Drosophila melanogaster: one gene and its partners. The protein of the gene in region 2 purifies or fractionates together with the protein of the main gene of each other region. This does not show direct contact. Each region holds a gene or a part of one and is shown on either strand. Other genes may lie near its edges.

Region 1 (7,394 bases), on a different chromosome or scaffold from region 2:
ATATGGGTCTTCTTATTAGTGTATTAATGATTGGGAAATGGTTACTTACTTATTTTAAGTATGATAAAATTGCTTACATTCGTTTTCTTCTTTTTACATTCAAATCAACACATTAGTTTACTTAACAATCTGCCCAAAACTATGCTATGGAACCGTTAAAAACATTTAGAAAAAAGTTAAGCCCAAAATTGAGCCCTATAATATGGTATTCAGCTTTTCAAACACATCAGAAAATATTAAAGCTTTTAATTAATAAAAAAAAAACTCTAGCAACTTAAAATTGTTTAAACTAATTACGCTGAAATGCAAAACTCTTGTTTTTATTTTATTTTATAGCTTTAAAACTCTCAAACGCTGAATAAGTTACAATTTAAGTACTTATTCATACATACATTTAAATAATAAGTGGATTTTCTATATAGCAAACACCGATAAGAAATAAGACCTACAAGTACACAGCTATTTACTCCGACTTAGCGGTGGTCATTGCTTCTCCGGAATGCTGGATGCCGTCGATAAAGTCGCTGCCCTCCGGACCGAATCCCTCGTTCTCCGCCTCGGTCCGCTCAAGTATCTCACGGATACGCTGCTCCGCCTCCAGAGTTTTCAGGTGATTGTAGCACAGGTGCAGCTTGTAGGCTGCCTCGCATCGTGTTTTGCCCTGAAGATCACTACACTCCTTGATCTCCGCCTTCTCATGCTGTATGATCGTTTGCACCTGATTCTTAAAGGCCTCCTCCAGCAGGACATTGTACCTATCCAAATCCAGGGTCTCATACAGACAGCTCACAAAGCACTGCAGCGGCTCATTATGCTTCAGATCGAGATATGGCATCTGCGAGTTGCCATTGAAGTCCAGATCACCCAGGTTATTTACATCGCCAATGGATTGAACTGGCGTAGGGGCTATATCGTTGTCATTATTGTAGTCGCTGTTCATCAGGCTCATGTGAAAGAGTTTCAGTTGCGACATTGAGATCTCGGTCCTACGCATACAAGCCCTCAGCATCTCCTGGCTGAGTTTGTTTTCTGTTCCATTTGGCGGATCTGGAACCAGGGTTCGTGTCATCGACATGTTCAGCGAGACGGAAAGCGATCGGGTCTGTGGATGAAATGTATTTTTGTAAAAATTATATATTGTCTCTATGTATTCCAATATGTCTTTTTAGTTGTAAGAAAATTTGATTCACTTCCCTTTTTTAATATTTACCTTGTAAATATAAAACATATAATTCCAAGTACTACATAAGTCGAATTTACAAAAGATATATAAAATATGAAAAACATTACCCATGCTTTAGAAACGAATTCACTAAGAGTGAGGCAAAGCAATGCCATCAAACTGGCTCGAAAATACATCTAAGAAATATTTTTAAAATTTGTTTGACGATTTACTATAAAAACTTTTCAACTATAGAGCCTGTTGCGATTTAACAAAAGCCTTTTATAGAGTCGTCTTTATGGAAATCGGTTTAAATTGCTATTTAATTGTCGCTCAAATCGATTGCCAAATCATGTTCATGCCTCACTTGCTAGGCCCATCAGGTAATCATATTCAGATACATCGCATATAATGTGTCATGCATCAGTGGATTGCCAATAGCATTTTTGGGTGAGAACTCAAATTAGCATTCGCCAAAAACACTCATCTGACTTATTTAATGGTCTCTATAATTGCACAAATACAAAAAGGTTTGCAAAAAGTTTCAGGTTCAATTTGGTAGATGAATCTACAAAACATTTAAGTACTGCTCTATAAAGGTGTTTTAAAAACGGTACAACCATTGTTGGCAATTTCAATTAAAATAATCATTGTAATTTTTGACTAATTTGTTTTTGCAAGCAATGTGGGTTTTTCTTGTTGTAGTTGTGGAAACATAAAAAAATACAACCAGAAGTTTTAATTAGATTATGGAAGTGGTTACAAGCTGTATGCGGAAAAATGATAGTACATAGAACACGTTTTCCTTCTAAGATAAAATTATTATATTCCTTACTAGTCTAGTTGTATTGCAAACAAATTCAATCACATTAGTTCAAGCCACAGCAACTGGTTTACTTGAACTCCTTCTTTCTTTGGACCACTCTAATTGACGGACTTAATAACAGACTTCTGCTGATAATCGGAAACACAACCGCAGCATCCCCAGCCACATCACATATTGGTCTTTAAGATCAAAGAAACTTCACATGGACGGACAAAAAGCGAGAGACATCGGAGCATGAAACAAGCAAGTGGCAGCCACCCTGCAGCGAAGTTTTTATAAAATTAAATTACATTAATGTGAGAACCGCAGGGAAAGCCTCCCCCTTCAAAGCATCAGCACTCAACCCCAACTCCAGCGATATCCTTGGTCCTTGGCCATTGAAAGCCAACTAACGGGAGCAAGACAAGTCAAACAAGACGGCCAAGACAAAGGCTGATGTCGAGCATCAATGTGCTACCATCTCACGCGTGTTGGCTCCTTTGACAAGCCGCCATGGCTGTCTACTTAAATGCATTAGCTCGGGGGGGTGGAATCCTTCGATTGGGCTGCCTTTTTAATAGACATTAGTAAACGCATCAGTGATTGTTTGTTCGGTTGGCCGGGAAGGCCATCGGCCATCGGCCATCAGCTCTTGTGCAGACAACTGCAACTGAAACGGATGCTAAATGGAAGTGACATTACAGCCAGACCGACCCCAGGAAGTGACAAAATGAATTATGGACCCTGGCTGCGATCCAAACTCCCCAAAAGCCAAAGTCAAAGCCAAAGTCGGAACAATTGTTCCCTCCGATGCCACCTGATCCATGTTGAACCAGTAAATGCAATTGCGACACGTGCTCAATGAATGTTTAATGATTTGTTAATTGGATTTGGGCTTTTAAAAACACGGCTCCCCGTGTCCAATTCATTTGCTCGAACCCCAACGCATCCTGTATCGCCGGGATCCCAGGTCTTTGTGCCAATAAGTTTGCCGTCGCTCATCAATATTTATGCCAAACATGAGCGGCCAAATGCCTCTGGGATCGCCGCTCTGTACCAGGGACTTAAGCCCCTGACGACGGTCTGACAGTGGTTGGTCCTTAATGACGGCCCACTGTTATGCAAATGGGTACGCGGCCAAAACGCAAATGGGTCATACAGTGGAGCATCCATTGACAAGTCGAATATGCATAAGTAATTATGTATAAGAATTTCACCTTAATTTCCTTTGAGACACAATAAAAGGCGTTCTCTGTTAGGGGTTTACGTAAGTTATTTTCCTGGAAGGTTCCTTTAAGTTTTTGTTGGACAGCTAAAAAGTTATTTGATCAAACGTTTAACATTAATATTTAAAATATTAACAAATGCCAAGTGAGATTCTAGGAGAGTTATGTAAAAGCTTTAAGCATGATCTTCTATTTGGAACATAGTCTCGCAAAGGTTTCTTGTCAAGTTTTTTTTTAAAAACGAAATATATTCTTGAGTTTATTATTCAAAACATTTACAGATCTAAAAATTTTGTTTACGAATTGATATACTGAATTAAAACAATATAAGTAACAAGTCACAGACAGATTATCACACAGGAGAATATCGGAGATTTGGCGCTTAGATGTGGGCGCGATTCTTGTAGTAGCACTCGAATAGCTGATAGGCAGTATCGCACTTATCCGCTCCCTTGGTGGCATCACACTTGGCCTGAACGGCCTTCACGGCATCCTCGCCGGCCAGGGGTCCCAACTTGGCCAGAACGACATCGGGCTGGACCTCACCATTGATCAGGAATCCGATTTTCTCCAAGAAACAATTGGCGAAGCATTTCACCTTGGGGTCACTGTCATCGAAATTGCCGTTTCGCAAGGCGATCGCCTGATCCTTGGTGATTCCCTCCTGCTGGGCACAAAGGGCGCCATTGGCATGGGCCACAGCCTTCTGCTCATCGGATAGTTGCAGCTCCTATAAGATATATTCAAAAGATACACTTAGCAATACTACCCCTTTAAATCAGAAACTATTTGTAACTCACAGCAGCCGAAATGGCCAAAATGACGGAGAGGACAATCAGGAACTTCATTTTCGGTAGAGATGTTGTTGGAAACCCTTTGGTATCGAAACTGTTGAATTTATTCTGTTAGCATCTGCCTTTTATACGATTTTGCATGCAGCTTCGTCAGAGTTTTGTTTTGATTATCGCTTTTTGTTTTCGCTCTACTCCGCTGATCACACTGTATAAGCAATTATTACACATACACACGGCAATACACCGGTTAGTTTACTTAAACCCTCTCCGATCTTGTTGATAACCCGAAACTGACTCACTTTTTTTTACCATTTCGGTTTAAAGTTCAACAGATACTCGAATCAGTAAATGAAGCAAGTTCACTGCGGCTTTCCATTGTACCTATAATTGGCCCTAATGCCCCAGACTCGGGCTTATTATTAGGCTAAAATCGCTTCAAAGCCATAATGTAAGTGCTAATTGTAGTTTCAGATTTTCCACCGATTAAAAGTGTGTTGTACTTCCCAAGGGTCAGAGTGCCCAGCGAAGCGTCAACGTCAACTAATTTGATTTAACAATACACGTAACTCCAAAACCTTAAACTTGAAATACAATCTAACGTTGATTTTTATGGAGGTGTTAAAACAAAGTGCATGCAAAGCATGATAGGGGAGTTTTAGAGAATAGAATATAAAAGCAACATTTTATATTACTTACAAAAATTTTTAGTAACACTTAAAATTTAATATAAGTTAACGGAGGCCATGAGATGCTCGAATTATTTGTAAGCCTTATATAAGGTCTGCGCTTAAATATATTTCTTCATTCCCTATATATAACCCTTATAACCAAAATATATCTATTAATACCACCATTATAAAATTTGTCTCATATTAATAAGGCTACCTCATTACCGCAACAAATTATTTCTTGGTGATTCTAATGCCATTATTAATAATTAAATAATTTTGTTAATAGACCCTTTTTTTGAAATAAGTCTGATATTACATGATAAAATTAATGACGAACGTCTGATTCGTCAAACCTGTTTTAACTTTGTCAGTTGTTCTCCTACCTATTTTTATTGTTTTGTTGGTTTTTTCCAAAGTCTGAAGTCAAGTGCGGTTATCAAAGTCCAAATATTCAGATGACTCTCAAAATCTCAAGTCCGTGCGATCAAACTAAACTGGTTTGCAGATTAATTTGTGGCACAGATGTGTCTAGCTGATTAACAATTAAAGTGACATTCGGGTAATTTGCTGATGTATGTATATATATGTATATATTTATGCATGAGTTTTAAGCGGAACCGTTTAAGTCGGCTAACTGCCCGAATTATTTAATTATGGTAATAGAGGCAGCTACCAAAGTTGATGCCTACGTGCCAGAACTTTGCCTCATATATTTTATCAATATTTACTGCTGACAGCATCGATAATTCATGACCTACTCAAACTATATACCGGTGCCTGGGTCACCCCCTGGACTTTCGGAGACGAAGTTACCGGAGCGAACTGGTAAATAGTTACGCACGCCAGGGAAAACAAATGTCAGAACGATTATTGCGGCCCATCGTCGCCTGCCAGGGCCATAACAAAAGTAAAATATTTAAATAGTAATAAATTCATAATGTCATCGTGTATAATGCCCCACAGCTCCTATCGGAGACCTTCCAACGATTTATAGACAATAATAACTGCAAACACGAAGCGGTGGCTGACTCCTCAAGTAGTTTGATTTCAGTTCAAGGAGGTGGAGGTAGCCTATTCAACTTTTCCAGCTTTTCCACCTGGTGAAGAAGTTCGCTGTCCCCAAAAGTTTCCTGTAGTGGAAAGGAATAAAACTGTTTTATCGTAGACATGATAGAACGGGAATGAATGTCGCATGCGACTCATATATAATATAAATATTAAATACTATATGGCATGCCATAAAAATATAAACAGCACATAAAACGACAATGAAAAACAATGGCACACGTTATTAAATATGTGTGCCCGAAGAACTGGTAACGGCTAATGAAATGTCATCGGACCCGAGGGCTCAACTCAACTCAACTCAGCTCAGCTCAGTTGAACTGAAATGCAAATGTCACGCGAAAAACTATTTGACGACAACATTACGTTGACATAATAATAATGCCGTCAACCGTTGAAGAACCCCAACTTAAAGGCAAAAGCTCGGCTAGAAGTCATATGCAAATTTTACGAGCTTCTCATGACCGGTCATAAAAGTCAATTTATTAGCTATGGGAAATTAAAAAGGAGAACAATTAAATAAGTGCAAAGCGTGAATTTGATTACGGTCAGCGCTTACTAAAGTTGCAATTTTCATAAATCATTTGGACTAGAACCAGAAGTTTTATTTAGACCAACAGATTAGAAAAGGAAAGCAAGGTTTATAATAAAATATATTCAGCTCTCACTAAAAGTTAATAATACCAATTCAGTTAATAACTGGAAATCGGTAATTGTGGCAGTTGTTTCTCTACATATCTGATGAAAATCAATAATTTAAAGATAATAAATGCAAGCGGTATCCTATAATGGCAGCTGTGTAATTAATTATAACCAATGGCGAGATAGGACCTCCAGCTCCCAATTCCGCAAGCCTAGCAAAAAGCTACAGAAATTCAATTAGGCTTATCCCATGCAATAACAACACCGGAAGCAACAACAAGAGAGCTACGGAACAGCTGCAACACCTGCGCAATTAATTAGTGTTTGCCGCATTAATTTCAGAAAATAAAAAGAGATGGCCGAAAGGAAACCAGAGCCACCACCAGATGGGATAAGATAGGCACCCTTTAGGGTCAAAACCCAGCGTTGGCTAATAAATACAGAAAGGCCCCATCCAGCGTCCTTGGCTCTTCCACAACTGGAGCAGAACATTCTCAATGGACCACAAAGGCAGTGGAACACTAAGCCACTTAAATCAAATAAAGCAAATTCAGTTAATTTAAATTATAATGAGGCCCAGTGCCAGCGCGGAACATTGAATACTATTTGCTGATGAAAAGATGAAACGTAAGCTAAAAACTTGTGTAAATATAGTGGCCTATTTGCTAAAGATAGGTAGGTTTTGAACTATTTACGTTGGGATTAAATTTTATAATGTCTCATTTTTTAATTGCTGTAGACTTAGTGCTACAAATAATATGTATAAAAAGTATGCTACAATCCAATGGGCAATCTTTTTTCCCCAAGGCACGCATTAAAACTGGGAAAGATATCATAATTTCCACTTCTATAATTTGTTTACGATTATGGCCGCATGCAAAATAAAACGCATTTAAGTAATTAAGTCATAAAAAAAAGTAGCGTGCTGGGTTTGCTCCATAAAAACCGACCCGTCTGCAATAAAATGCCAAAAACAAAACAATTAGGCAATTAAATGTCTTGGTATTACCAAAAATTTTCGTTTTGGTA
Region 2 (9,418 bases):
CTGTATTATCCTGAAGCCCCTTAAGTTGCACCTCCACATTGCTGACATCATACTCCGATTGCTGGGTGATTTCCACCCGACCGCTGACTGTCAACGAATCTCCATTTGCGTACCACTCCTTGGCCACCACTTTCCTCCGGAAATGTCCAATCACGGCCGAACAAGCCAATCGCTCTCCTCTGGCTTTGGGTCCACTATCCTCATAGATAACAAGAGACTTACCCAGGATACTATGTCTTCCGGAGAGCGGAAGATTGCCGTCTACAAACATCTTCCTACTTATTTTCTGGGCAACTCTTCTGCCTCCAGCGATGGTTAGGGTTCCCGATCTGGCATCCATAGCACCCACTCTGCACATGGAGGCTAAACTGGGTCGGCAGAAGTCATCCACACTGCGATTGCCCCAATCCACTCGGAATGGATTATATACAGGTCCTGCGGAAATGCATCTCTGTTGCCAGTCATAGAAGTCCTTTCCAGGTGCATTGCTGTGGATTGCCCAACGATGATCGTGGGTAGTATTCTGCGTGGATCCATCCGCCTGGATGAGGTACTCAAATAAAACGGTAGTATCCTGCCAAGGCTGCTCCGCCGTCTGCCGGAATATGACTCGACCCACCACAGGATAGCGGAAAAGGACCTAAGATATAAGCACAAATATTAAAATACTTAGCATGAAATACTATTTTATCTACCAACCTGAGCAGTAACCATGTTCTGCTGGTAGATTCCATTTCGTTGATATTGACTTAGGCTCGAACAGCCCCAAATCATCTTCGTAATATTTGTGACATTAGATCGATTGAAAGTGTATATGACCAGACTTCTTTGGGCAATGCTATAACGTCCTTGAAGGGGCAGAAATACGTCCCAGTAGAGGCCATTCAACTCGGAGCTCGTTCCTGGTAAGACATACTGATGCCAATAACCTTTATTGCGACCCTGTAGCTTCCCGGAGAGATCGCCCACGGGATACTGCTCCTGGGTTCCATAACCGGGTGGGGGTATATTCTCGTTTATCTCCCGGGGATTATGCATGTCCCCAGTGGTCAGGCAGTAGTCCTCGTGACCCATCCTCGAAGGCACCGGCGGCAGACTGTGAATCCGAAAGGCGGCCACATCTTCGGCGAACTTGCGACTGACATGCTGGGAAAGCGGTGCTCCCAAGGTGAAATTGAGGAAAGTTGGGTCGAACTTGGAGCGCTGCATGAAGGTAACCTCTCCCTTGACACCACCAGAGTTGATGAAAGTTCTGCGGTTAACAAAAAAAAAATGGTTATACTTTCAAATAGAATGGGTTGTAAAAACCACTCACTTATGTGTCAAAGGTTGGACATGGCGAATCTTGGTGCACGCGAGGTACGAATCTGGATGTTGGTTGTCAAAAAGAACCAGGTAAAGAGTTCTATGGGGAATGGTAAGATCCGAGGGCAGCAGGGCCAACTGAGCATCCCTAAAAACGCTGCGTTGTGGCGAACGAAGGGCATTCTTGGCCACTCCAATCCTGCCTAGGCGTGCGTCCAGATCACCTATTCCCTTGCCAGCTCCACTTCCTTGGGGATCGAAAACTTGCTGCAGGAAGTTGCAGTTGTCCTCCGTGCGATGGTGGTCATGTTTGAAAATGTCCGTCACATAGATCTTCCAGTGGTGCTGGGTGAACGGTCCAGCTTGACTTCTATCTTCCTCCAGAGCAGCTGGTTGCGCCCTAATATGGTAAAGATCCGAGTAGATTAGAGTATCTCCAACAGCTCCCTCCGCCGGGGCCAGCCAGCGGAAATGGACAGATCCAGCGACAGGAGTATTAAAACGAGCCTCTGCCATGTGCTCCACGGAACTCTGGATGGTGGTGATGGTGGCACAGATCCGTGCATTAGCGTTGACCTCTGTCAGAACCAGGGACTTCCCCCAGATTCCCCGATCCCCAATCAACTGCATGTTTCGCTCCCAGCTGGAGGTCTCATTTCCGGGCAGTACCAGGTACTCCAAGTCCTCGTCAAAGGACAGGACCTGGGAGCCCAAACGACTCAGTTCGCAGCGTTCGTCTGGGTCAATATTGGAGTAGTCCACGGGGAAGCGACGTACTCCCCAACTCCATACTTGGTCGGGGTACTGCAAAGTGGCCTCCAGGTTGGCCTTGATCTCCACCGTGGTGGCATTCATTTGCCGAAAAGTGATCTCTCCATGAAGACCTCTTTGCGAGATATAAGCGATCAGATGCTGTGCATCAGCTGAGAGGCACAAAAACGATAGTGAGAGTGGAGTGTTCATTAGTAAGGTGAGATATCTCATAGGCGCAGAGAGAGAAATATGAATGAATAATATAATTATATGCATAAAATATAGTGTTGGAAATAAAAGGTTAGTTTACTTTCGAAGCAAAGTATACAGCATAGGATAAGGGCTTAGTTCGCCCCAAATGTATATCACTTTTCTTGCAGTGCACTCGAGAGTGTGGTGAGATATTCCAGACTCAAACTGAGATACTTTCGATTTCTTTGGCCACGCAATATCTGCATACAATGCAATCGATTCCCAGCACTCACCTCCACTCATTAGTGATGCAATCCAGCAGATGGAAGCCATCCACAAAAGCTGTCGTCCACCTGGAGCCATGGTTCTGGTTCTACTTACGCCCTGAGTAACCAGATTATTCGAAAAGCGCTGTTCGGAATGGATGTGGCAATGACAAGCGTGGCTGACTTTCACATCGTAGTGCGCATGCGTGCGCCTCGAAACTCGACTGACAACTGGTCGCTCGAAGGTTCGTGTTCGGTTTTGGCCATCGTCTTGGCCAAGTGTGGGGAGTTTCCCACTGCGCTCCACAGCTTCGTTCAGCTCCCCAGCTTTATCGGTGGTTTTGTTTTGACCTGGAACTGGTTTCCGGCACGGCTCAGCTGAGTCAGATATGCAGTAAGGTACTACATACCCCCAAAAAACCCCTTCCCTGAGCAAATCAAACTTCAATGGCTTTGTGTTTTTTTTTCAAGACGACTCTCTTTTGCTTTATTCCAAGACTTCGTCATCGTATCATCATCTAGTTATGTTGTATAAAAACAGTTACTTGTTTTCTATTTTTAGATGTTTTTTGTTTTACTCTTGTTAATATTCCTGACCGGGTTAAAAGTTTTCTGAATTTTTTCATCTTGCCGTGTGTAGCTTAAAATATACTGAAGTAAAGATTCGATTTGCATTTAACAACTTGTTGCATGTTGCACTTTGAAATGGATTGCAGTGTGCGTGTGAGTGTGGTGTGTGCTCGTGTCGAGTGTCAAGTGTTGAGTTCTGAGTAATAGTAGTATTAGATAAATAAGGCAATATATTGTGCTTCCTCCGATCAGCCTAGGTACTAGTGGTTATGGGCACCTTATTCAAACTAAAACCCCCCCGACCGTCTATTTCCCGGGGAGGCGTATCATCCTGGAAGCTTCAAAACGCATTAACTAGAAACACTGGGTTTGTTATTTGAATGTTTCTTCATATTTCAGATATCATTTTGGGTTGTTTGTTCGTTTGGGTGGTTTATATCGCTGATAGTTCATAAGCAGAAAGTTGTGGTGGTGGCGATGGTTAAGTTATATAAATTCGCATTAAACAATTTGAGTGAATGAACTTAATGTTTCTCTGTTATTAGCCTAACTCTCGATAACTTGCAATAATATTGATAACTCATAACTGATAAATAAGTAAGTAACGAACGATAGATATGTATAACGATAAATATTTTGTGATAGTAGGATATATATTTGGCTCTCAGTTAAATGATCCCTAACAATAGTTTGTTATGGGTTTACCTCTCTCTCTCCTGGTCCTGCGAGATTTCTTGAACGAAAAACATTGTAACTCACAAAACTGGCTAAAATTCATATTCATAATCAAATTGAACTCGCGGGTGCAGGGCTAACGAATACAGCCCGGCTACCCATCAACATCGTCTTCGTCCTCCCTACATCATAAATCATACATCATACATCCTCATTTCGATTCCGATCTCGATCTCGATCTGGTAATCATCTCTCTCTGGGGGTTCTTCTCTTTAGTTCTTCAACGGACAGCGATATAAAAATAGACACGGCTTGTTTGTTGTTTTTAAGTTTTTTTTGTTGATTTTATAGGTGTTTTAAATAAAATAGATAGCATATGTTTTATAAATTTTACGTGTAAAATTTAACAGTAAATCAACTAGAAAACTACGCGTCAGTTCTTGCCGTGACAGTGAACGTGATCGTAAGTATCCCTAACTATGATGGACAGATACATGGTAAATGGTTCTGATCGCTACCAAATGTTGCTGAAGAAGTTCTTTTGAGGTTCAGTTTGATCGGATGTTGCTGATCTGGTTGGTGGTGTTGTTCTTGGTACAAGGTACTTGGTGATGGTTAACAAAAGAGATTACAAGATACTGAGAATCTACATATGTAAACGAGCGTTTCTTTTAATTACGTTTATTATTACTGATTTGACTGATTGATTTAACGTTCTGATTCTGGCTGTAAAATGGATGTTGAGTTAGAAGTTAGGATGTGATCGGATGTGCCTTAGGCGGCCTCCTCCTCCTCCTCTTCACCCTTGCCGGTGAGCATCTCGATCAGGGCGGCGGTATCGATCTGGTTCTTGTCGTCGATCACCATCTGATCGTAGGCATCATCAACCTCCTTCATGGTGAACTTGTCACCGAAGTTCATGAGCATTTCGCGGAATTTGTCACCGTCGATGAGACCATCGTTATCGAATGTTTTGAAGGCAGCAATAACAACTTCGTCTTCATCGTTGGCACCGGAGGTGGCCATGCGGTTGGCGAACAGGGTCAGCAACTGGGTGAAGTTGATCGGACCCGAGGCCTCGCCCAGCATGGCGTCCAACTCCTTGTCGTTGGCGATCTTGCCGACGGAGTCGAAGGCAGCGCGCAGATCGTTCTTGCCAATAATACCGTCCTTGTCGGCATCCATGAGTTGGAAGGCCTATCGATCCCGCACAGAGACAGAGAGAGATAGAAAGAAAGAGTGTGTTGGTGACTTGGTCCTTGACAAGTGCGATAGATGGTAGGATGACAGGATGATGGGATGGGTCTCGAGTGATCCGACATATGATGCGATATATGAGTAACGCCCAAAACTCACCTCCTTGAACTCGGCGATCTGCTTCTGGGAGAACACAGAGAAGACCGAGGAGCCAGCGCGCTTCGACTTCCTGGAGCCACGGGATCCGCCCGACGCTCTCTTCGAACCAGTGGCAGATGCGGCCGGGGCAGGAGTGGCAGCTGGTGCCGGGGTTGCTGCCTCGGATGCGGCCTCAGAAGCGGTTTCGGAAGTACCACCCTCTTCCTTGGTCTTCTTCTTCTTAACCTTCTTCTTCTCATCGGCCTGAGGAGAGAAAAGAGGGATTTATTAGTAGGGACTCGTGGCAGAAAGGGGGTATCTACTCGGTCATTAGTCGTTATAGTCCGTCTTTAGCTGTCACTTGAAAGTTCCGATTCCGGAAGTTATACTATTCGTTTTAGGGATCTTAGTAAGTTATCCGCGTTGAAGGATCTTCAATTGGAATTATATGGGTAGAAAGTTATCCCTTAATAGGGATTTAAGGGATGTAAGGTATGCTTTTCAAAAGGCCTACCCGACTAGGCCAGAAAATATGTATCTGCAGGCGAAAGTTTTCCACTCATTCTAAAAATATACCGGACGCATATTACGTAAGCTCTCCGCCGTGCGCCACTCGCTGTCTCGCTCGCTCCCCGGCACGGATATCAGATTACATTACTGACGCGTAACACTCGGATCGGATCGATCCATTTATAGAACTTTCTGCACTATTCTCACTGCGTATGTGAAGAAGGTGAATCGGGATCACCATGATTTAGAGTTATGGTTCACTTCATATTCATATCCTCGGGGTCATTCTCGAATGCAAACGATTCACTGCACTGATCGGCATTATCCTTGCTGCATATATCCAGGCACTGGGGTCCAGTTCGATTCGGTTCGGTTCAGTTCGGTTCAGTTGGATTGTAGTGATATTCCGGGACGAGTCCTTACCATGGTGCTGAACTTTGATGTGTTGTCTAATCGAGTCGAGCCGTCAGAGCACACTGAATCTCTGGCTGATTTTATCGCCAAGACAATGATGTTTTAAGAGCTCGGAGGAGCTCTTCTTCTTCCAAGCATTGGGGCCGCTCGTGGAGGTTCGGCCACCTTCGGGGATCTTCGGGCGCCATTCGCTGTATCCGTATCTGCAATATTCGTGCTGCCTTTTTTAGTATCTGCAAGGCGAGGTCCGCCCAGGAGATCGGCGGGGGCGGGCAGCTACAACTATATAGATATAGCCATGGCTATAGCCTATAGCCTATGGTGTAGCTGTATCCGAGGTGTTTACTCATCCATCGGGCGCTGCTCTAATCAAAAATCTAATTTTAAAGGCAGAGAAATTGCTTTGGCTTTGGCTTTTGGGCAGCAGAAGCCTATACATATGTTCGGAATTTATTTCGGGGCGATTCGGATTGGTTCATATAGCGGCTCTCTGTTGTGGATACATTTCCCCATCCTCGGATTCTGTTTTGTTTTCTTTTATTTTGCTCTGCTTCACTACTCGGTGCGTCTCTCTGCCAGAGGCCACCTCCGAAAGGTGTCCTCTTGCGCTGAAATCACCTACATTTTCCTTGGCGGCGGACAGCATACATATATGCCAACATATAGCATATGTATGTATTCTATTCACGCCTATATACTCGATGTTTTGCTCGCCTACGTTCCTTTTTCTGTTTTCGAAATGCCCCGCACATTGTGCAATATGAAGAGCGCCGAGAATTCCAAATCTATAGATCTGTATATACATACACGGCGATCGGGCGGATTTCGTGTCGCATAAATATCCAACGAACCCGATATTGGACCAGAGTTATTTCGGCAACAAATGTGGAATAAACATCTGACTTTATCTATATGCTAGTCATCCATGGACATTGCATAACAATGGGAAGGCTGTAGGATTTCCATTTCAGATAAACTTTGGGTACCACGTCATGATACATTAACCTTGTTACTAAAAATATTAAACACTGCAGTATTCAAGCTATTTAAGCCATTTCAGTAAATAAATAGTAAAATTGTGACAACTTCAATCGACAAATTGGATTCTCAAAGCCTTATTTACACATTTTTAGTTTTCCAAATAAGCAGGAAATTTCAATTTAGTTTCAAGTGTTACAAAATATTATTATTCATATAGTTTACATCTATTTTTTTTAGAAATATTCATTCTGCAAATTATTCGACTTTTTGCTTTCTGAAGGAAATAAGCCAAAACATTTTTCAAAACAATATTTACATGAGGTCATCTTTGCCACCTGAATTCATTACCCTCGCTGGCTAATATTATAATTAATGAAGGCTCTATGCAAATTTATGAAACGGAAAATATCTCAATTAACGATGGGATCCGTGCGAGAAAGCCTTCATAATTCATCGATCAGACATAATGAAAATCGATTTAGGCTGCAGTCATCTTCGTGCTCCATTGAAAGTGATTTTCGGCGAAAACTCTCATGGCGCAGCCATTTTGGCACGTAACCAGGCGACATTTTGGCCTGGGGCCAACCAAAACAAGAAGATATAGAGGAAAACTGCCCACAATCTAATACGCAAAGTAGCATTGAATATACGCGAATGTAAAAATAGAACAAAGTGCAAAAAACGAGCAAGACGCAGTCGAAGGAATGTTAAAACTAATGAAAACTGCGGCAAATGTATTCAATTTTCCAAGGTGCAGAATGTTTCTGGGAATATTAATGGTTTTGACACTTTGGAAGCATTGTTTATAAAGGGTTAACAATTAAATAAGGCAAATAACAGCCTACACATAACATTTGTTTATCTCAAGGGTTTCTAAATTTAAACGCCAAATCATCTTTGATTTGCTGATTTACTACGTTAGTCTGTGTGAATATACCCAGTTCCACCTGATACATGAGCGAACTTGGAGGTGCTCAGTCGTGAGGTCGGACGTCATTGGGAATCGGCTGTATTCAGTGCCCGCAACGCATTCCTATCACATCTCTGCTCCGCTCCCCTTCTTACACCTTGGCCGCCCGATGGCCGAAAATAGAAGAGCCAACGCGCACCACTGTGCTGCCCATTTCGATCTGAGGGAATAGTTTCGATTTTAGAGACGGAACTTGCTCAGTCGGTTTGTAGCTTACCGCCTTGTCGAAGTCGTTGGACATTCCCATGGAGACGAGCACCGAGTCCGGGGCCAAGGAGTGCGCCTCACATATGGATCTGTGCACCTGCATTAGGGACACGAAATCCGGATTGGGTCCATTGCTGTAGTCAAAACCAAATGCACCAATGGTCATTATGCCCATCAGGTTGAGGTGTTTAAGGTTGCTCTTGATGTACTGGTAGAGTGCAGGAGCATCTTTCGCCTCTATTCCGCTTTTAACTAGAGGTCGATTTAGGAAAGTAAGTATAAGGTCGCTAGTTTGGGGGCGTGAGACTCACCGTCTTCACCACTAGTGTTGATCTGGATGAGCACCTGCAATGGCTCCTCAGGGGTGGGCTGTCGCTTAGACCAGGCTGCGTCCAGTTTGGTGGCCAACTTCTCGCTATCTACGGTCTGGATCATATGCAGATTTGGCACAGAAAGGATCTAAATAAACAATGAGATCAATAAGATAAAGAGAGGTGCTGATAAGAGATAAACGCTGTTATCCGATCTTGGTTATCCAATTGACCTTGTTGATCTTGTTGCTTTGCATGTGGCCTATGAAGTGCCACCTGATGTCGGGGCACTTGGCCAGAATGTCCGGGTGGCGGCTCTTCTCCTCCAGCTCCTGTACATAGTTCTCACCGAAGTCTCTTTGTCCGCCCTCGTAAGCCTCGATTACGGCCTCCGCTGGCTTTGTTTTGCTTACAGCAACGAGCAGCGGCCTGGCAGCTTGAACTTCCTGTGCGAGAGATAAAGTTTTTCATTTAAGAGGTCATTAATAAGTGGGTCTTAAGTTAACTTACTTTGGGCCGCTGGAGGAGCACCTCGTCTATGCGCTTCAACACGTGCTGCAGGCCGGCTTTGACGTCGAATTCCGCCATTGTGCGTCTTAGCATTTAACTAAAAAATGCGAGATGAATAATATTCTTTATATATAAGTACAGATAAATAGTAGTTATTGTTCTTACAATTGGTTAACTCAATGATAAGAAACAGCCCTTGCAAAAATAAAAACAAAACCTTCGAGTCGATCAGCTGTTCGGCAGTGTGACCTGAGTTTACTGAATATACCAATAAAATACTTTTAGTTTTGAAAATACAGATGAAGGCGGGGAGTTTTAAAAGTAATTTAACGCCTAACACCAAAGAGGATATTGTTTTTAAGGCATATGAATAAAATATTTAGTTTTAGCTTTAGCTAAGAAAAAGTCGAAATCCAATT
Region 3 (7,366 bases), on a different chromosome or scaffold from region 2:
TACTTATTGTGCTTCTTTAAATAGTCCGTACCTATTCTATTATCAGTATCGCCAAACAAAGAAAATTCCAACTGAAGGGGAAATCAAAACAAATGAAAATGTATTTTTAAAAACAAAGCAATCTTATTGAATCGAATCCAATCGAATCGCATCGAAGCACAACAAAGCCGATAAAGCTGAATTCAAGAGAGGAGAAGAGAAACGAAACGAAACTAAACGGATGGCAAGCTGAACGGGGGCAATGGACAGCTGATGATTCTCTTTCCCACCCCCACTTGCACTCTCTCCGTTCACAATGCCGGTGGCCTACGGAGCGTATACTTGACATTGCTCATACGTACCATTGGCTGCGAGGAAGATTTAGCTCTCGCGTTTTCTCTGCCCAAAAACATTTCAACAAGTAAAGCAATGAAAAGAGAGGGGCGGGGGGAAGCGTGTTAAAGGGTGTGTGAAAATCAGCTGTTTTTTGTTGTGAGCTGTGAGAATTGTGTAATTCAAGCAAAATTTTCTGCCTCCACACTTTCTGCCTTCAGTGTTTACGCGTATTGGACGCCGATGACGCTGTTGATTTGGTGTGGCTCCATTTATGAGTAAATTAGTGAGTGCACCGAATGCGGCGAACGTGTCCAATTACTCGAATCGAAATGTTTACAAACAAACACTCAAGTGTGCGCAATAAATTTGCGAAAAAAAAACATTTGAAATGGCCAAGAGGAAAGCACAAACAAATATATGCACCGTGAAAAAATGTTAGTTTGGCATTCATAGACAACCATGACATTGGATTTAACAGTTTTAAAATAAAGAAAATTAATGTAAACTTGATTCTTTACAATTTGTCTATGACCTCTGTGGACCATTAATAAAATACCTAAAGAACGGACTAAATATGGGAATGACCACAGGACGACCGTTTGGATGTTTTATCTCTCAGTTTGTTTGCTTGCGTTCAAAAGACGCAAAAAGTTGGCGTCTCAAGTGTTGGCCAAGTCTGTGGGCAGTACCTTGCCCTCCCATCGCAGTTCCAACCCATTTTCACAATTTTCCGCCCGTCAAGAAGACAATGCATACATAGATAGTGATATTGGCGCCACATAAACTCAATATGTTCCCTTATCGTCCGTTTGTAATCTCAGCCATATGAAACTCACATTTGCATTCACCTGCAAACAGTGCACTTTTCTATTACTTTCAGGCGACACGTTTTCCAATCACGCACAAAACCCCTGCAAAACTGGCACTGCGCGAGTGTTAATCCGAACCCGAATCTCGATCTGAACCCGAATCGGAAACTGCTGCGACTGCGACGCACGTTGCCAGCACGTCTGCCAGCGAACGACTGAAAACTGAAGAGTAGAAACACAGCCAGATAGTCGCCGAATGTCAGGCGAATGCGAATGTTGCTGCTGTTGCTGCTAGTGTTGCTGTTACTGTGTTACTGCAGATGTTGCTGCTGTCTCTTATCGCAGACGCTGCTGTGTGCTACTTTTACTCTTCGGGAGAAATGCGAAGAGTGACAGAAAGAAAGAGCAACAGCTGTGGTTCAATTTTCTAAATGCTCTGTGTTGGAAAGAAGTTATATTAAGTCTGAAAAAACATATAAGCTATCAGTGATACACAGATTTTATAGACTATGTGTTTAAGTAATAATAAGGCCAATAATATTACCAGAACATATTAAAATGTTCTTATATTTTAAAACTAAACATATTCTACCAAAATTAATTTTGATTACTTAAAAGAAAATTTAGCTTGCTAAGTCTCAGTATGTCAAATCGACTTCGAATTAAGATTTTTTACCAACAAATTGCTTTCGATTATAACATTAAATTAAGTGGTAATTATTTAACCCATGTCGGATCAATTTTCTAAATTGCATATAGGAACGTTCATAAGAGTACGTCAAATTCGTATTGACCCCCTGCGACTTCTGTGTGATTTTCTCTTTGCCGGTCAATTACCGGCTATTGCCAAAACGAAGCCCAGTAGGAAATTTCTTGCCATTTTCGAGTCGGACTCCAAGTAAGGGGAGACTGTCGACACGATTGACGCTTGACTCTTGGCCGCCGGCGTACAATAAATCATTGCAGTCAGTTCAATACAGCAGATTTAATCGCTAGACATTGCAGAGAAAAAAAACGTTTAATCATTTTAGGAAAATATTACAAATAAAATATTTTACCGAAATTACAGAACTTTAGAGGTAGAGCATAAAAGTTTGATCTACATATACACTTATATAATATTTAATAATAATAATAAATTTTTTATCAATTTTATTCACAGTTCTTTTCAGTGTATTTAAAAGGAGGTGTGGTGAGAAAAAGTTGAAGGAAGTTCGGGGACTGTTATTGATACACTGACGCATTTCATTCAACGGCCAAATGCGGCAACAAAAGCGAAACTAGAAACATGAAAAACAAGCGCGAGACTTTGTAAACCGCTGTTGGAACTCAAAGTGGGAAAAATAAAAAAAAGGGGCTGGCTAAGTGGGAGGGGAAAATCACGCAACAGTTGGACTCTGCTATAGCAAATCGAAAGATATAGGGGGTAAGGAAGTGCGGGGTTGATTCCATTTGATTTGTGGCTGGATTTCGCATTGAACGCAGTTGGGGACTTTGCGCATGCGCATGAACTTGACATTTCAGCATTCGATCCGATGGCTTTGCTCTAATCACACTTTATTATGGAGGAAGGGGTTGCATGCAAACAGCGTAGTGTCAATTTGAGGCAATGAGTCAATTAATTGTATTCGGAGGCGTAAATATGCGATGATAATATATTGAGAGCGAACGGGCTTTGTATACTAATAGATTGAGCCTGTGGGAATTTGTCAGGCAACATCTATTTATTTTAATTTTGGCTTGACCAAAACAAACTTTGTATACTTACATTATCATTAAATAAAGCTTTATCAAACGAAGAATATATATTATGTAATGTTCTGTAAAGCGGAAAAATTATAATGAGGAACCATCAAAGATTTGTTAGCAATAATGTTAATTTGTCGCAATTTTATTTATATGTGGGTATTTAATATTCCCAACTTCGCAATATTATTTACACATTTCCCAAAATAAAACGTTTATACTTTAGTTACATTTTCTTTATTGGCATTATGTAGATGTACAAGCATTTCCTTCCAGAATGCACTTGGCATTCCGTTCGAAGAAAACTTGTGATGGTTTTTTCACAGGATGCTTGGAAAATGTATGCTAAATAAATAGGTAAGCGAGAGAAATAGGCAACCACAAACGTGGCCGGGTGCTTAGGTCGGAAGAGAATTTTGATGACTCCTTTTTTTCGGGACAGGTATGAAAGGATCCTGTTCAGGTGCTAGGTGCGAGTACCCTGTCTATATATGGCTATATATACAATGTATTTACATAACGTGTTGAGGGGTCTAAAGTTCGACTTCCCCATCAATGGCAGTATCCGTGGCAGAGGCAATGGTCCGATCGACAAAGGGATTGAAGGCGGTATACTCCTTACAAGGTTCCGGGTGCGGGAGCGGCATTGATGGAGGCCACCGACTGGATGTGTCCGGCCAGAGGAGCGGTGTGAATGGCACCACGGGTCTGGGCAGTGTAGACGCCACTGTGAGCCACTGGGGCCACGACGACTGAGGGAGCATGAGCAGCAACCACAGCGGGAGCAGGGGCAGCAAGCACGGCAGGAGCGGCGGCGTGGATCGCTGCCGGAGGCCACGAAGCCACGTTCACGGCAGCAGGCCAGTGGGCGGCGGGAACGGCCCAGGGAGAGGCCACCACAGCGGGTCCGGAAACGGCGGTGTAGGACAGTCCATGTCCAGCCACCTGGGACAGCAGGGGGATCACAGACGACTGCACGCCCATGGCGAGGGCCAAGGTGAAGATAACGGCGACGGCGAACTGTATAATGCAAAATATATTGTTTAGTCTTATGAGTAAAACTTCCTTGTTGAATTACTAATATTAATCCAAGCTATGTTGTTGTTAATTATCAGGATAAATCCGTTTGATAACTCACTTTCATGGTGCTGTTTGTGGGTTTTGGGTTGCGCTCTGGTTGAACTCTTGTTCTGAACTGATCTGTCAACGGAGCTGCCGGCCAGTTTTATACCCAACTGCTGACCACATCAGCAATAGAAAACCGCCAAGTCGGAGGGTTCATGAAAGTGAGAGTTCACACACCATGACATGGTGGACACGGCTGACACTGCTCCGCATGCATATGATCAGCTGTAATGACATGCCTCGGATCTGAACGGATCGTATCGTATCGAATCGGATCAAACGGCTAGGTTGAACGCCTTCAAAGCGGTTGAATTCAAGAACTAGTTCTACATCTACAATACTTTGTTATTAGCTTATTGTACTAATCGAAATACGTACATTTATTTTCTAAAGAATAAAAAAATAAATGAAGAAGAGAGGATTGTGACAAGAAGTTAGGTTACCTAATTTGTATCTTTAAGGTGGGGTTTTTAACAATAACCCTCTCAAAAATGAACTAACTCGGTAGTGAACCTCTATTTCCGCACCACTCAAACATGCACCACCACAGAAAATGCATTCTCAGTGAGTGTGTTTCCATCTCCGTGGCCATGTGGGTCCAACTGTCTAAGTGAATGGCCCAACCCACTTTTCAGCTGCAGTTCCGGTAAGTTGATTTTCACTCCATCACACCGCCACTTTAATTACTTAATTGTTGTTTGTGCGCGATTAGCATTTCAGTATGATTTATAACACGATTCCAATTATGGAGCGATCCGTATCCTGTATAAGGCCGGCTAATATCTGATTTATGTGTCTTAAGGGTTAATGATATGCGAGGAACAGCCCACTTTATCGATCGATATTGAAATATAATTATGGGAAAATTAAGAGCTGAAATATATTATTCCATTTGAACAGAACTGATCTATAAATCTGTTTCTAATATTTTAAAGAGTTAATATTAAAATTTTAAGCCGAATAACAAAAAGTAGATTATAATCAATTGGACTAGTGTAACTATTTAGAATTCGAATCCAAGAGACAAAAGTTTGCAATTCGTTTCATGACATCTACAAATTCGTGTGTGCATAAGCCGCTTGTTGGCTATAAATTAACCAAAACTTGCAATTAACACAGCTGAAAGGCATTCCAGGTTAATCCGCTTTTCCAGGCTATTTCCCTAATTATTTCCACCTCCGATTACCTAATGGAATCGACATTGCGCAACATTCAATTGTCTGAAATGGGTCTGGAGCGTGGGTTACTGCAGCCCGGAACAGCCCACATAAATATATCGCAAACCCATTAGGTGCCGCAATTAAGTCAGACTTTAGTGCAAATTGAACCCAGCAAAGACAATTCAATTATGCCCAAAAAAAACTGCATGAGGGGAAAAACTTGTTTCGATGCTAATGTGGGTGAGATCGATTGTCGAGTCTTGGCAAAATCTCTGAGACACCAAAAACACCAAAAAAGTTCAAGTTGAATTCTTTCGGTGCGATGATAATCTGTAATTAGCGACTACTATAATTTACTCCATGTGCCAATTATTTTCCTATACCAGAAGCCCAGGTGCTGACTAAAATTGAAACTTGGTCTTTGTGCGATTTGTAATTAGCGCTAAGCGTTTGCATAATTAAGCATACGCCCTGTGGCCCAATACGTGCATATGATCTGGCTTTGTACCAATTAACTCGATCTAATGACCATTGGCCCCCAGCTTGACTACCGTTCAGCTGTGGCCGATAGTACTGCCAAGCAAATTAGGATTGTCACTATAATAATAGACACTTAAAGACAAAGACACATTTGATCTAGACATTCTTGGCAGATATGAAATCAATAGAACAATTTGTCGGCTTTTCAAGGTCGAGCAGGTGCAAACTAAAGACCCAAGGTTATAATTAACTAATATGCAGTTTATGATCTAGATGTATTTAATGAGAGCTAAACAATCATTCCAATATGGGATTGTTTGAGGTTGTCCAAGTAAAAGATTAAAACATTAAACATCTTGGCATATCGTACAAAAGTATTAAGCTATCTAGCAATCATAGCTTAATTATATATTGAATTGTATTTAAAAACAAGTCCAAACCTCAGATGATGCCTCAGATGAAATTAAACCTAAAATATACATTAACAGGTACTTTTATCTTTTGTTAAAGAAGAATCTCCTTAGTTGGATAGTAGTAACTTTTTTTTTAACCCCATTTTTGCAAAAACACAATATTTATGTCGTATAAAAAACGCTGATTGCTTTTATTTATAACGTTTTCGTCAATCTTTACATTGTTGCAGATTACTAGATTACAATGGGATATTTACAGGTTGACAGGGCATATCTAGGGCGATATGCCAGATAGTGATAGATATAAGAAGTATATAGTGATAGATGTAAAGAAGAGGAAGACAGGATAGCAGATGGGAAGTATTGAAAGAGTTCTCAAAAAAGAAAATTAACATGCTGTCGTTTGTTGGTTTGTTGTAGTTGTTGTAATTGCTGTTGGACTTATATATTGCTGAGTGCGTTGGAAAATGTCCAGAGGATATGGACATGGACCCAAGATCAGGATCGTGTTCGTATCGAGGGGGTTGGGACTAAGAGCGGTGTGCTTAACAATAAGTGTACAGAGAGAGATGGGTATTCATCCGGTTGGAGTAGTCGTGGGAAGTCGCTGAAGCAGGTGGAGATCAGTGATACTGCCATCCATCCGCTCCGTTTGGCATCGGTTTGGGTATGGTTTATCCGTCACTCCCGACTTACAGAGTTCCGGGGGCAGGGGCCACGTTCACGGAGGTGGCAGAGTTGATGTGTCCGGCGAGGGGAGCGGTGTGGATGGCACCACGGGTCTTGGCCACATAGACGCCCTCATGGCCATGGCCGGCGGCGAGACCGGGTCCCTGGGCCAGGTTGATTCCGGGAACAGCAGCGCCGTGCCATCCGGCACCGGTCAGACCCCAGGGAGCAGCGCTGGCATGGACGGCAACGGCGGCAGGGGCACCCCAGGGAGCACCGTTCCAGGCGCCGTTCCAGGCACCGTTCCAGGCACCATTCCAGGCTCCGTTCCACAGACCGGCTCCATGGGCCACGGGGCTCACATAGGACACACCGGGAGCGATCTGGGCCCACGAGGCATGAGCTCCAGCCAGGGCGCACACGAACATGACTACGGCAACGGCGAACTGGAAAACGGATTAATTACCGAAATTAGTTAGATCACCAGGATAATTTCGTAGAAACTCTTGAAAATTTTCAAAAAGTTTTTGAAAATCTTAGAACACTCCTGCCAATGTCCTCACCTTCATGTTGTTTGTTTGGGGTGGGTGTTGAAGTTGGGTTGTTGAAGGAGAAGTGCTTGTTGAATACTCAGCGAACGAGTTGATTC
Region 4 (8,627 bases), on a different chromosome or scaffold from region 2:
AATAATAAAATATTGTCATTGAATCCATTTTTGGACAAGGATGGGGTTCTAAGAGTTGGAGGAAGATTGCAAAATTCCAATGCAGAATTTAATGTTAAACATCCAATCATTTTAGAAAAATGCCACCTAACAAGCTTATTAATAAAAAATGCTCATAAGGAAACATTGCATGGAGGGATAAACCTAATGCGAAACTATATCCAAAGAAAGTATTGGATTTTCGGGTTGAAAAATTCGTTGAAAAAGTATTTAAGAGAATGTGTAACGTGTGCAAGGTATAAACAAAATACAGCTCAGCAAATAATGGGTAACTTGCCAAAATATAGAGTGACGATGACATTCCCGTTTCTTAATACTGGAATAGATTACGCAGGTCCTTATTATGTTAAATGTTCAAAAAATCGTGGCCAAAAAACATTTAAAGGATACGTTGCTGTATTCGTTTGCATGGCCACCAAAGCCATACACTTAGAAATGGTAAGCGATCTAACTTCAGACGCATTTTTAGCAGCACTCAGAAGATTTATTGCTAGACGGGGAAAATGTTCCAATATCTATTCAGACAACGGAACAAATTTTGTAGGAGCTGCAAGAAAATTAGATCAAGAGTTATTTAATGCAATACAAGAAAATATAACGATTGCAGCGCAGCTTGAAAAGGACAGGATTGATTGGCATTTTATTCCCCCGGCAGGACCTCATTTCGGAGGTATTTGGGAAGCTGGAGTTAAGTCAATGAAATACCATTTAAAGCGTATAATCGGCGACACTATTTTGACTTACGAAGAAATGTCAACTCTTTTATGTCAAATAGAAGCATGCTTAAATTCAAGGCCATTATACACTATAGTTAGTGAGAAGGACCAACAAGAAGTTTTAACACCAGGTCATTTTTTAATTGGAAGACCACCTTTAGAAATAGTCGAACCAATGGAAGATGAAAAAATCGGAAATTTGGATAGGTGGAGACTTATCCAAAAAATAAAGAAAGATTTCTGGGTTAAGTGGAAAAGTGAATATTTGCATACGCTCCAGCAAAGGAATAAATGGAAAAAGGAAATTCCTAATATAGAAGAAGGGCAAATAGTTTTATTAAAGGATGAGAATTGTCATCCTGCAAGATGGCCTTTAGGAAAGGTGGAAAAGGTGCATAAGGGGAATGATGATAAGGTCCGAGTGGCTAAAGTAAAGATGCAGGAAGGATATATCACTAGACCCATTACTAAAATTTGTCCCTTGGAAGGAATAAAGTCTGTTGACAAAAATGAGGCTGACCAAGAGCCAAAAAGACGAACTAGAGCGACATCGGGAATGTCCAAGATCGGAATCATTATGGCAATGTTGTTGTTTGTGTTAAGTTGTCAAGTTTCTAGCGCATTACCTAAAGATATAGCACCAAGATATTCTATAGACAAAATAAATAAAACCTCAGCAATATATCTAGACCCGCTAGGAGATGTTGAGATTGTGAGTACTTCTTGGAATTTGGTTATCTATTATAAAATGGATCCATATTTTAAAATGTTAACAAAGGGTAATGCGCTTATACAAAGTATGAGGAAAGTTTGCGAAAGACTTCATAGCTTTGAAGAGCAATGTAGTCTAGTCTTAGATAATATGCAAAGTCAGTTATCGGAACTTGAAGAAAACAATAAATTGTTTATGATGCAGTCTAGATCTAGAAGCAAGCGTGCTCCTTTCGAATTTATGGGTTCCTTGTATCATATTTTATTTGGTATAATGGATGAAGATGATAGAGAGCAATTAGAAGAAAATATGAAGAATTTGTTAGATAACCAGAACAACCTTGATAAACTAATTCAAAAACAAACATCTGTGGTTGATTCAACTTCTAATCTATTAAAGAGAACAACAGAAGATGTTAACTCCAATTTTAGAAGTATGCAAATAAGAATTGAGAACATGACAGAAGTTCTTAAAGAAAATTATTATGTTTATAAGGAATCAATAAAATTCTTTATGATTACGAAACAGCTACACTCATTGATTGAAGAAGGCGAAAAAATTCAAGCAGGCATTATAAGCCTGTTGATTGATATTAATCACGGTAGGCTAAATACAAATATTCTCAGGCCAAATCAGCTTAAAAAAGAAATTGCCAAAATTCAGCAGAGTCTTTCAGAGAACCTAGTAATTCCAGGAAAACGGTCAGGTACGGAACTTAAGGAGGTGTATACACTGTTAACAGCCAGGGGTTTATTCATCGACGATAAATTGATCATTAGTGCAAAAGTGCCTCTGTTTAGCAGGCATCCATCCAAATTGTTCAGGCTTATTCCGGTGCCAATTCGAAATGAAGATCGGATAATAATGGTGCATACAACGTCCGAATATTTAATTTATAATTTTGAGATAGATTCCTATCACATAATGACGGAAGCCACATTAAATCAATGTCAGAAATGGCAACTAAATAAGAGAATATGCAAAGGAAGTTGGCCCTGGAATTCAGCGAATGATAATGCATGTGAGATTCAGCCTCTAAAGCCAGATAAAGCGGCGAACTGCATCTATAAAACAGTAGTCGACTCTAAAAGTTACTGGGTAGAGTTAGAAAAGAAAAGTAGTTGGTTGTTTAAGGTTCCTGCGAATTCAAAAGTCCGTCTGCAATGTACTGGCTCTCAAATTGAATTGTTTGATTTGCCTCAGCAAGGAGTTTTAAGCATTGCGCCATATTGTACGGCAAGAACCGACGATAAAATTCTAGTTGCCCACCATAACATTCAGTCCGAAAGTGAAGAATTATTATCAACACCTTATATAGGAGAAGTTAGTGGAGTGCCGAAGATTATTTGGGATCCGCTGAAACTATCAATATTAAATCATACTGAGGAATTTGAACGATTGAATAATGAAATTAAATTTATGAAAGAGAACCATCAAAAATTGAAAGATTTACATTTCCATCATATTTCCGGACATGCTGGATTAATTATTGCTTTAATACTAATGATAGTATTAATAATATATTTCATACGGAAATGTGCTGTGCAACAAAGAATGCAAGCAATAACCTTTGCAGGTCCGTTGCCAGTACTATAAATATCAATAGTAAATAAACAATAAAATAATATAACAAATAAAAATATACAGTCCACTAATAGAAAATGTACTTCTACATAGAAAAAGCAAAATGTTTAAAATAAGTTAATTAAGTACAAATTGTTGAATTAAAAATAATATAAACCATAATTGTAATCCAATAAAATTAAAAGCCAGAAAAACTAGGCCCATTGAAATCTTAGTTGCAAAATAAATGAACATATATCAAATAAATACAGTCCACTACTGTTATAAATGCAACTAATATACTAATGTACATCTCAGCTTTGCTGGCCCTTTGGCAGAATGTTCACACATGAACACGAATATATTTAAAGACTTACAATTTTGGGCTCCGTTCATATCTTATGTAAATGAATCGAGAGCGATAAATTATATTTAGGATTTTGTTATCTAAGGCGACATGGGTGCATTGCTCAAAAACATGTAATTTAAGTGCACACTACATGAGTCAGTCACTTGAGATCGTTCCCCGCCTCCTAAAATAGTCCCTTAGTGGGAGACCACAGATAAGGTCCTCGCCGCTCAAGATAGGCAGATGTGCCCGAGCGTGGGACCTCGATAAGGCGGGGACTATTTACGTAGGCCTCTGCGTAGGCCATTTACTTTAAGATGCGATTCTCATGTCACCTATTTAAACCGAAGATATTTCCAAATAAAATCAGTTTTCTTACAAAAACTCAACGAGTAAAGTCTTCTTATTTGGGATTTTACAATGTCTTTGACTGTATATCGGACCAAATTACCGGCTACTGTCTGGATCAATACAGCAGATATTAGTCTCTGTCTAGTGTGCGTAGCAATTAAATGGTTTAGTGCAAGTTGAATTCCAGTTTTTGTGTCAGGCCGCGACTATTGCGACTATTCCTGAGAAAAACAATGTAGGTGGCTTCAAACATTGTTGGAAATTACTAAACATATGTTTCTCGCTTTTCTTTTGAAAATTTCGTTTCAATGTTTCTTAAATAACTTGATATGATTTCACGGATATTCAAAATGGAAAAGTGTCAAGCAGAAGTCAACCCAATCGTGGTTACAAAAAAATAATAATAATAAAATAATAATAATAATAATAATATCTTGAACCTATATTATTAAATTAAAGGTATCAAATGGTTTAAGTAGATTACGGAAAAATTTTGAATTCTTTACATATTACTTACAGACTTTTTACATCGCGCCTTTCATGATCTTCCACAGTGGCGCCATCTGCAGTCGCATAGGAATAAGCTCTGTATGCTAGTGTTACCGCTCACCAAAACTGTAAAAATAATCGATATCTGGCACAAAACGATAGCGTTTCGATATGTTTGAGAGTCCAGGCCGTGCGCTAGCATTAACAGTCCCACCACTAACGCAAAAGTTTTCGGCTGTAAAAACGTAAATATTTAAACTTTAAGCAAGTTTAGTGTAAAAATAATCAAATCATGTGCGTTAATTTGCAAAAAGTCTGCGGGGCTATGGTCCATTTAGACTTAGTACTGGATTCAGCGGAAAACTCGCATTTCGCGTGCTTTTCACTTGTCCCACATTCGAGGTCCGCTTTTGCATCATGTGGAATTCCAGGAATTACCATCATCGTTTCAGCGATCAATGAGACACTGCCGCGTGTTCCCCTTTCTAAAAAGTGCATTTAGCAGGCATTTGATTGGTATTTTCCAACGTTTTTCCCCATTTAATTTCAAGGACTGTTCTTATATAATTGGAAAAGTGCAGGTGGGCGTCTCGTCGGCGGAAAAGCGCTTGCGCCGGCCGCCCCAAATGAAAAGTGAAATTTCGCAATGCAAAACAAGCGACGTCGGCGACGTCACATGTGGTTTTTTGTAAAATTAACTTGCCGCATTGATGACGCAATTGACCGAGTGCCGCGTGTGCTTTTCTCCCCGCCGCCCAATGAATCATCAATCAAAAGCAATGGCAATAGCAACAGCAAACCGCAAAGAAAGCGCGCGGCCGCATTGTCTGGGGCAGCACAACTAGTTATTTTTTTCTGCTGACGGATGTGGATCATCTGCCACAACCTATCATAAGTCGGCTGCAAAGGCCCCAGATCGGGAATAGTAACCACAAAAGTATTATAGTACTACGGAACCTCTACCTCCCCCTCGCACCCCGCTCCGCAATTACTTCATGCCCTTGGACCGCTCTTCTTCTTCTTCGCCTAGAGGGGGCTCGTCCAGGGTTTTTTTTTAATGGAATGCAAAACCCCACTGAGTGCGTCTCTCTTGCCTTCTTATACCCTTTTATAGGGTATCATGGCAATTTAATGTTTTACGCCAACTACGATAATAGCTTTTATTCAGTCTTAGACTAATTGGTACACTGATATCTACATAGTTATCATTCGATAGTCAAATTACCATTTCCGCTATTTTTTAGAGCAACATTAAAATTTACATTTTGCCACAAAAACCAAATAATAGTTTTTTATATAACTTTCTACATTATACATTTTTTTCGATAGAAAGTTAAACTATTAAATACTATAAAATACAACAATTCTAAAATAACTAAGAGTATCTAATGATCGGTGCCTCTTGAGTGTTCATTAATTTCGCACTCGCATCAAGGTAAATGGTTGTGTCTGGTGTGTGAACTTGAAACTTTATTGATTAGCGGAAAGGTAATTGATACACGCACAAATTCACTTGCGCTTGACCTATTAAATGCACTGTGAAAAATATGTTAAGAAATTGTTAAGATGTGATTCTGGATAGTGTACCAAATTTAATTTGAGTTGAGAAATCTTTTAGATATACAAACATTTTGTATTTTAATATTGTTTCTCGTTGTCTTTGGTATTATGTGATAAACAAGTTCTATGAATGTATTATACATTTTATTTTTTTGTGTATATCATACCGCTTTTTCTCTCCTCTCGTTTTTGGCTGTGTGGGCGGCATTCTTTGAAATGCCGGCTGACGAACGGACTTTGGGATTGTTGTAAACAAATTCGGGCTATAAATACGCAAGACATGGGCAACAACCAGGAGGCGAGGCGGTTAGATAAACGGAGGAAGTGCGGTCAATATGTAGATACATGAGTATGTACCTGACTGTTATCAGGTCCACCGATCGGCGACCGACCCAACCCCCTTTTGCCAGAAGATAAAGATACAACGCCGAGTTGTCATGTGGCCGCTTTGTGTGTTTTTATCACACACACACTCTGTATTTTTCTTCCAAGCTTGCAGCCCGCTCGGCGGTTCGTGAAGAGCAAATTCGATTTCTAAATTTTATATTTCACTCTCGAAGGCGGCCGCTTTTGTATTTTCGCTTCAGTCGACGCGCAGCACTCAGCACGAACAAACGTTTGACGCGTATCTGCGAGATACGGATACGAGTACGACGAGTACATATATTCGGTTGGTTTTTGGAGCAATCGCATGCAGTATATGCGTATATATTATACGGTGTCTTGATTCATTCCACCGCGGTGCAGTGCATATACAGTCGGAACTAGACCTTCCACCGACCGAAAGCCTAATGGATTTTTCCAGTCATGCTTCGAATTGTGGAACTGCAAGCTCATCCGTCGGACTATTTCACACTAATTAGCTCCATCATCTGGCCGTTCTAATAACTCAGCTGCTCTCACGCGAGCAGCTCTTCGTTTTTTTATTTTTTGCACTTATGTAATGTGTTTTCGTAACATCGACGTCGAGCAGAATATAATTGCAGGGAAAGCAGTATGTGAAAAGCGCCAGCACAAAACAAGCAAACAGATAAATGACACTGAAAGAAAATGTCGGGCTGCTAAATTGAATTATCTATTGTGGGGTGGACAATGTAACTGTAATTGTAGCTATGACCGAATCAAATAACCCGAGTGATGCACTTTCAAATACTTAGCTTTGACCACTCCAAACCGGTTAGCCGTTCCAATTGTTTTCTTTCATTTTTTGTGCTCTCATATCTGGGGGCCAGTATTTTGTAATCACTTCATTTGGATCGTCTGGCCAGCATGCGTTCGTCGATAAGACATGTGACCTGGCCACGCATTCGTTGCCCCATAAGTTCTCATTCCGAATTTCATTCAATTTGTACGTATTTTTTGCACGACTGGCTTTAGATAGGGATTCAATTACGACATCCGCACGCGCTAGCCTATCGCCAATAATTTGATTAATAACTTGACAAATTCTGGAAGTGCTGGCGTGGCATGACTGGAGGCCGGTTAAGCGCCCTCCTCTTATCACTGAATTGCGTCTAGAGGGTTCTGCGTTTAGTCATGGACCACAGGAATTTATAACTCCAAGCCAGGGACATTCGCTCTTGACGCCTTTGCGTTATCTGGGCAAACTCGTTTTGGGCCAAATACCCAGGTGAATGCTCACTGTGATTCGGAGACGGCAAACAAAAAGTGAGGGCAAATATTCACAACTGATTAAAAGTTGGGAAACGAACAAACTGCGCAAAAAGCAGCTGGCTCTCCCTATATAAAACCCCCCCATTTCACCATTATATTTGGGGGCCAAAGTATCTCCGCCATTTCTTGGCTGATTATCAAAAAAGCGAGCGACGGACTGGCGTATGGCATCACGTGTGCTTTTTTCCACCAAGCGATCCCCCGATCTCAACGGTCTAGTCTGGCTTTGGACGTATGTAAATTCCCCCCGCATCCATTCAATTGTGAACTTGTTTCGTGAGCGTGAGGGAATTTCATAACTGGCCCACTGGCCTGGCAACGAGTTCGGAACATTCGGTTGATCGGTGACACAGTTAAAACCCAGAACATGACCATGACGTAAAAACTTCTAGGCTATCTTATCGCGTTTACAGCAGCCGAGGGTCAGGAGTTCGGTGTTTAGGGGGTGGCACTGGCACTATCTTTTACGTGGCTTGTTTGTCAACAAAGCCGCCATCGATTAATCAGTTGGAAGTGATATAATAGTGGGCTGATAAGATCTTCACTAAGATTGTCTCTTTCTTTCAGTTCTATTTTGTAAAGCTACAAAATGCATAGAGCCCACACAGCCTTCAGCCTGGCCTTGTCGCCGATGGCGCACAAGAACTTCGCCACATGGCTGCTCAAGAGCAGCAGCAGTCAGCAGGTGAGTTTGGTCGATATAACCATAACTCCAAAGAAAACCCCAACTAATGAGCCCCCAATCTTTGGCAGATGGCCAAGGTAACTGCAGCGGCCGCTGTGCGCACCTACAACTCCGCAGCTGCCGAACCTTTTGCCAACGGCAGCACCGCCTCCTACGTGGAGGAGATGTACAACGCCTGGCTTCGGGATCCCACTTCCGTGCACACCGTAAGTATCCCTATTAAACAGGGTTTTATTTCTGCGCCTTTTTAAATTCAACTCTTGATTTTGAGTCATCGATAAACCAGTTTCTAGTGTTTATTTCTGAAGCGGAAGTGCTTTATTACCTTTTAAAAACCACTTAAAAATGTTAAGAGCTTATACTAAAGGGAACCAAACTTCTCTGCAATAAAAAATATAATAAAAGCCTAATAAAACGGTGATCCTGGAATAATGCATTCACAATAAATGACATGACAATAAATCCTTATTGATTCATTCTTCTTTTAGT

What was found.
Region 1: the proteins of Mlc2 (region 2) and Obp56d purify together in Drosophila melanogaster (affinity purification with mass spectrometry, with the first as the bait; one large-scale study listed by BioGRID). This does not show direct contact.
Region 3: the proteins of Mlc2 (region 2) and Acp1 purify together in Drosophila melanogaster (affinity purification with mass spectrometry, with the first as the bait; one large-scale study listed by BioGRID). This does not show direct contact.
Region 4: the proteins of Mlc2 (region 2) and Ogdh purify together in Drosophila melanogaster (affinity purification with mass spectrometry, with the first as the bait; one large-scale study listed by BioGRID). This does not show direct contact.

Annotation. Positions count from the first base shown.
Region 1 is NT_033778.4:19,699,710-19,707,103, forward strand, and holds Obp56d (Odorant-binding protein 56d), read right to left. Parts: upstream 4,207-7,394; 5' UTR 4,042-4,206; coding exon 3,994-4,041; intron 3,924-3,993; coding exon 3,576-3,923; 3' UTR 3,215-3,575; downstream 1-3,214. Other genes in the region: Obp56c (Odorant-binding protein 56c), read right to left, coding at 464-1,102, 1,261-1,359.
Region 2 is NT_033777.3:30,168,455-30,177,872, forward strand, and holds Mlc2 (myosin light chain 2), read right to left. Parts: upstream 6,098-9,418; 5' UTR 6,033-6,097; coding exon 6,030-6,032; intron 5,361-6,029; coding exon 5,118-5,360; intron 4,959-5,117; coding exon 4,536-4,958; 3' UTR 2,984-4,535; downstream 1-2,983. Other genes in the region: Rsod (uncharacterized protein), read right to left, coding at 1-640, 700-1,252, 1,316-2,228, 2,544-2,613; CG1983 (uncharacterized protein), read right to left, coding at 8,063-8,131, 8,189-8,430, 8,490-8,637, 8,723-8,935, 9,000-9,092.
Region 3 is NT_033779.5:7,737,468-7,744,833, forward strand, and holds Acp1 (adult cuticle protein 1), read right to left. Parts: upstream 4,071-7,366; 5' UTR 4,015-4,070; coding exon 4,009-4,014; intron 3,891-4,008; coding exon 3,489-3,890; 3' UTR 3,095-3,488; downstream 1-3,094. Other genes in the region: CG7214 (uncharacterized protein), read right to left, coding at 6,741-7,163, 7,281-7,286. UniProt on the Drosophila melanogaster protein: Component of the cuticle of the adult fruit fly. Could be involved in thickening of the hard adult cuticle.
Region 4 is NT_037436.4:16,951,079-16,959,705, forward strand, and holds the start of Ogdh (oxoglutarate dehydrogenase), read left to right. Parts: upstream 1-3,743; 5' UTR 3,744-3,801; coding exon of another isoform or gene 3,802-3,864; 5' UTR 3,865-3,965; intron 3,966-4,247; exon of another isoform or gene 4,248-4,249; 5' UTR 4,250-4,464; exon of another isoform or gene 4,465-4,513; intron 4,514-4,685; exon of another isoform or gene 4,686-4,735; intron 4,736-5,946; exon of another isoform or gene 5,947-6,611; intron 6,612-8,020; 5' UTR 8,021-8,042; coding exon 8,043-8,138; intron 8,139-8,206; coding exon 8,207-8,344; intron 8,345-8,626; coding exon 8,627-8,627.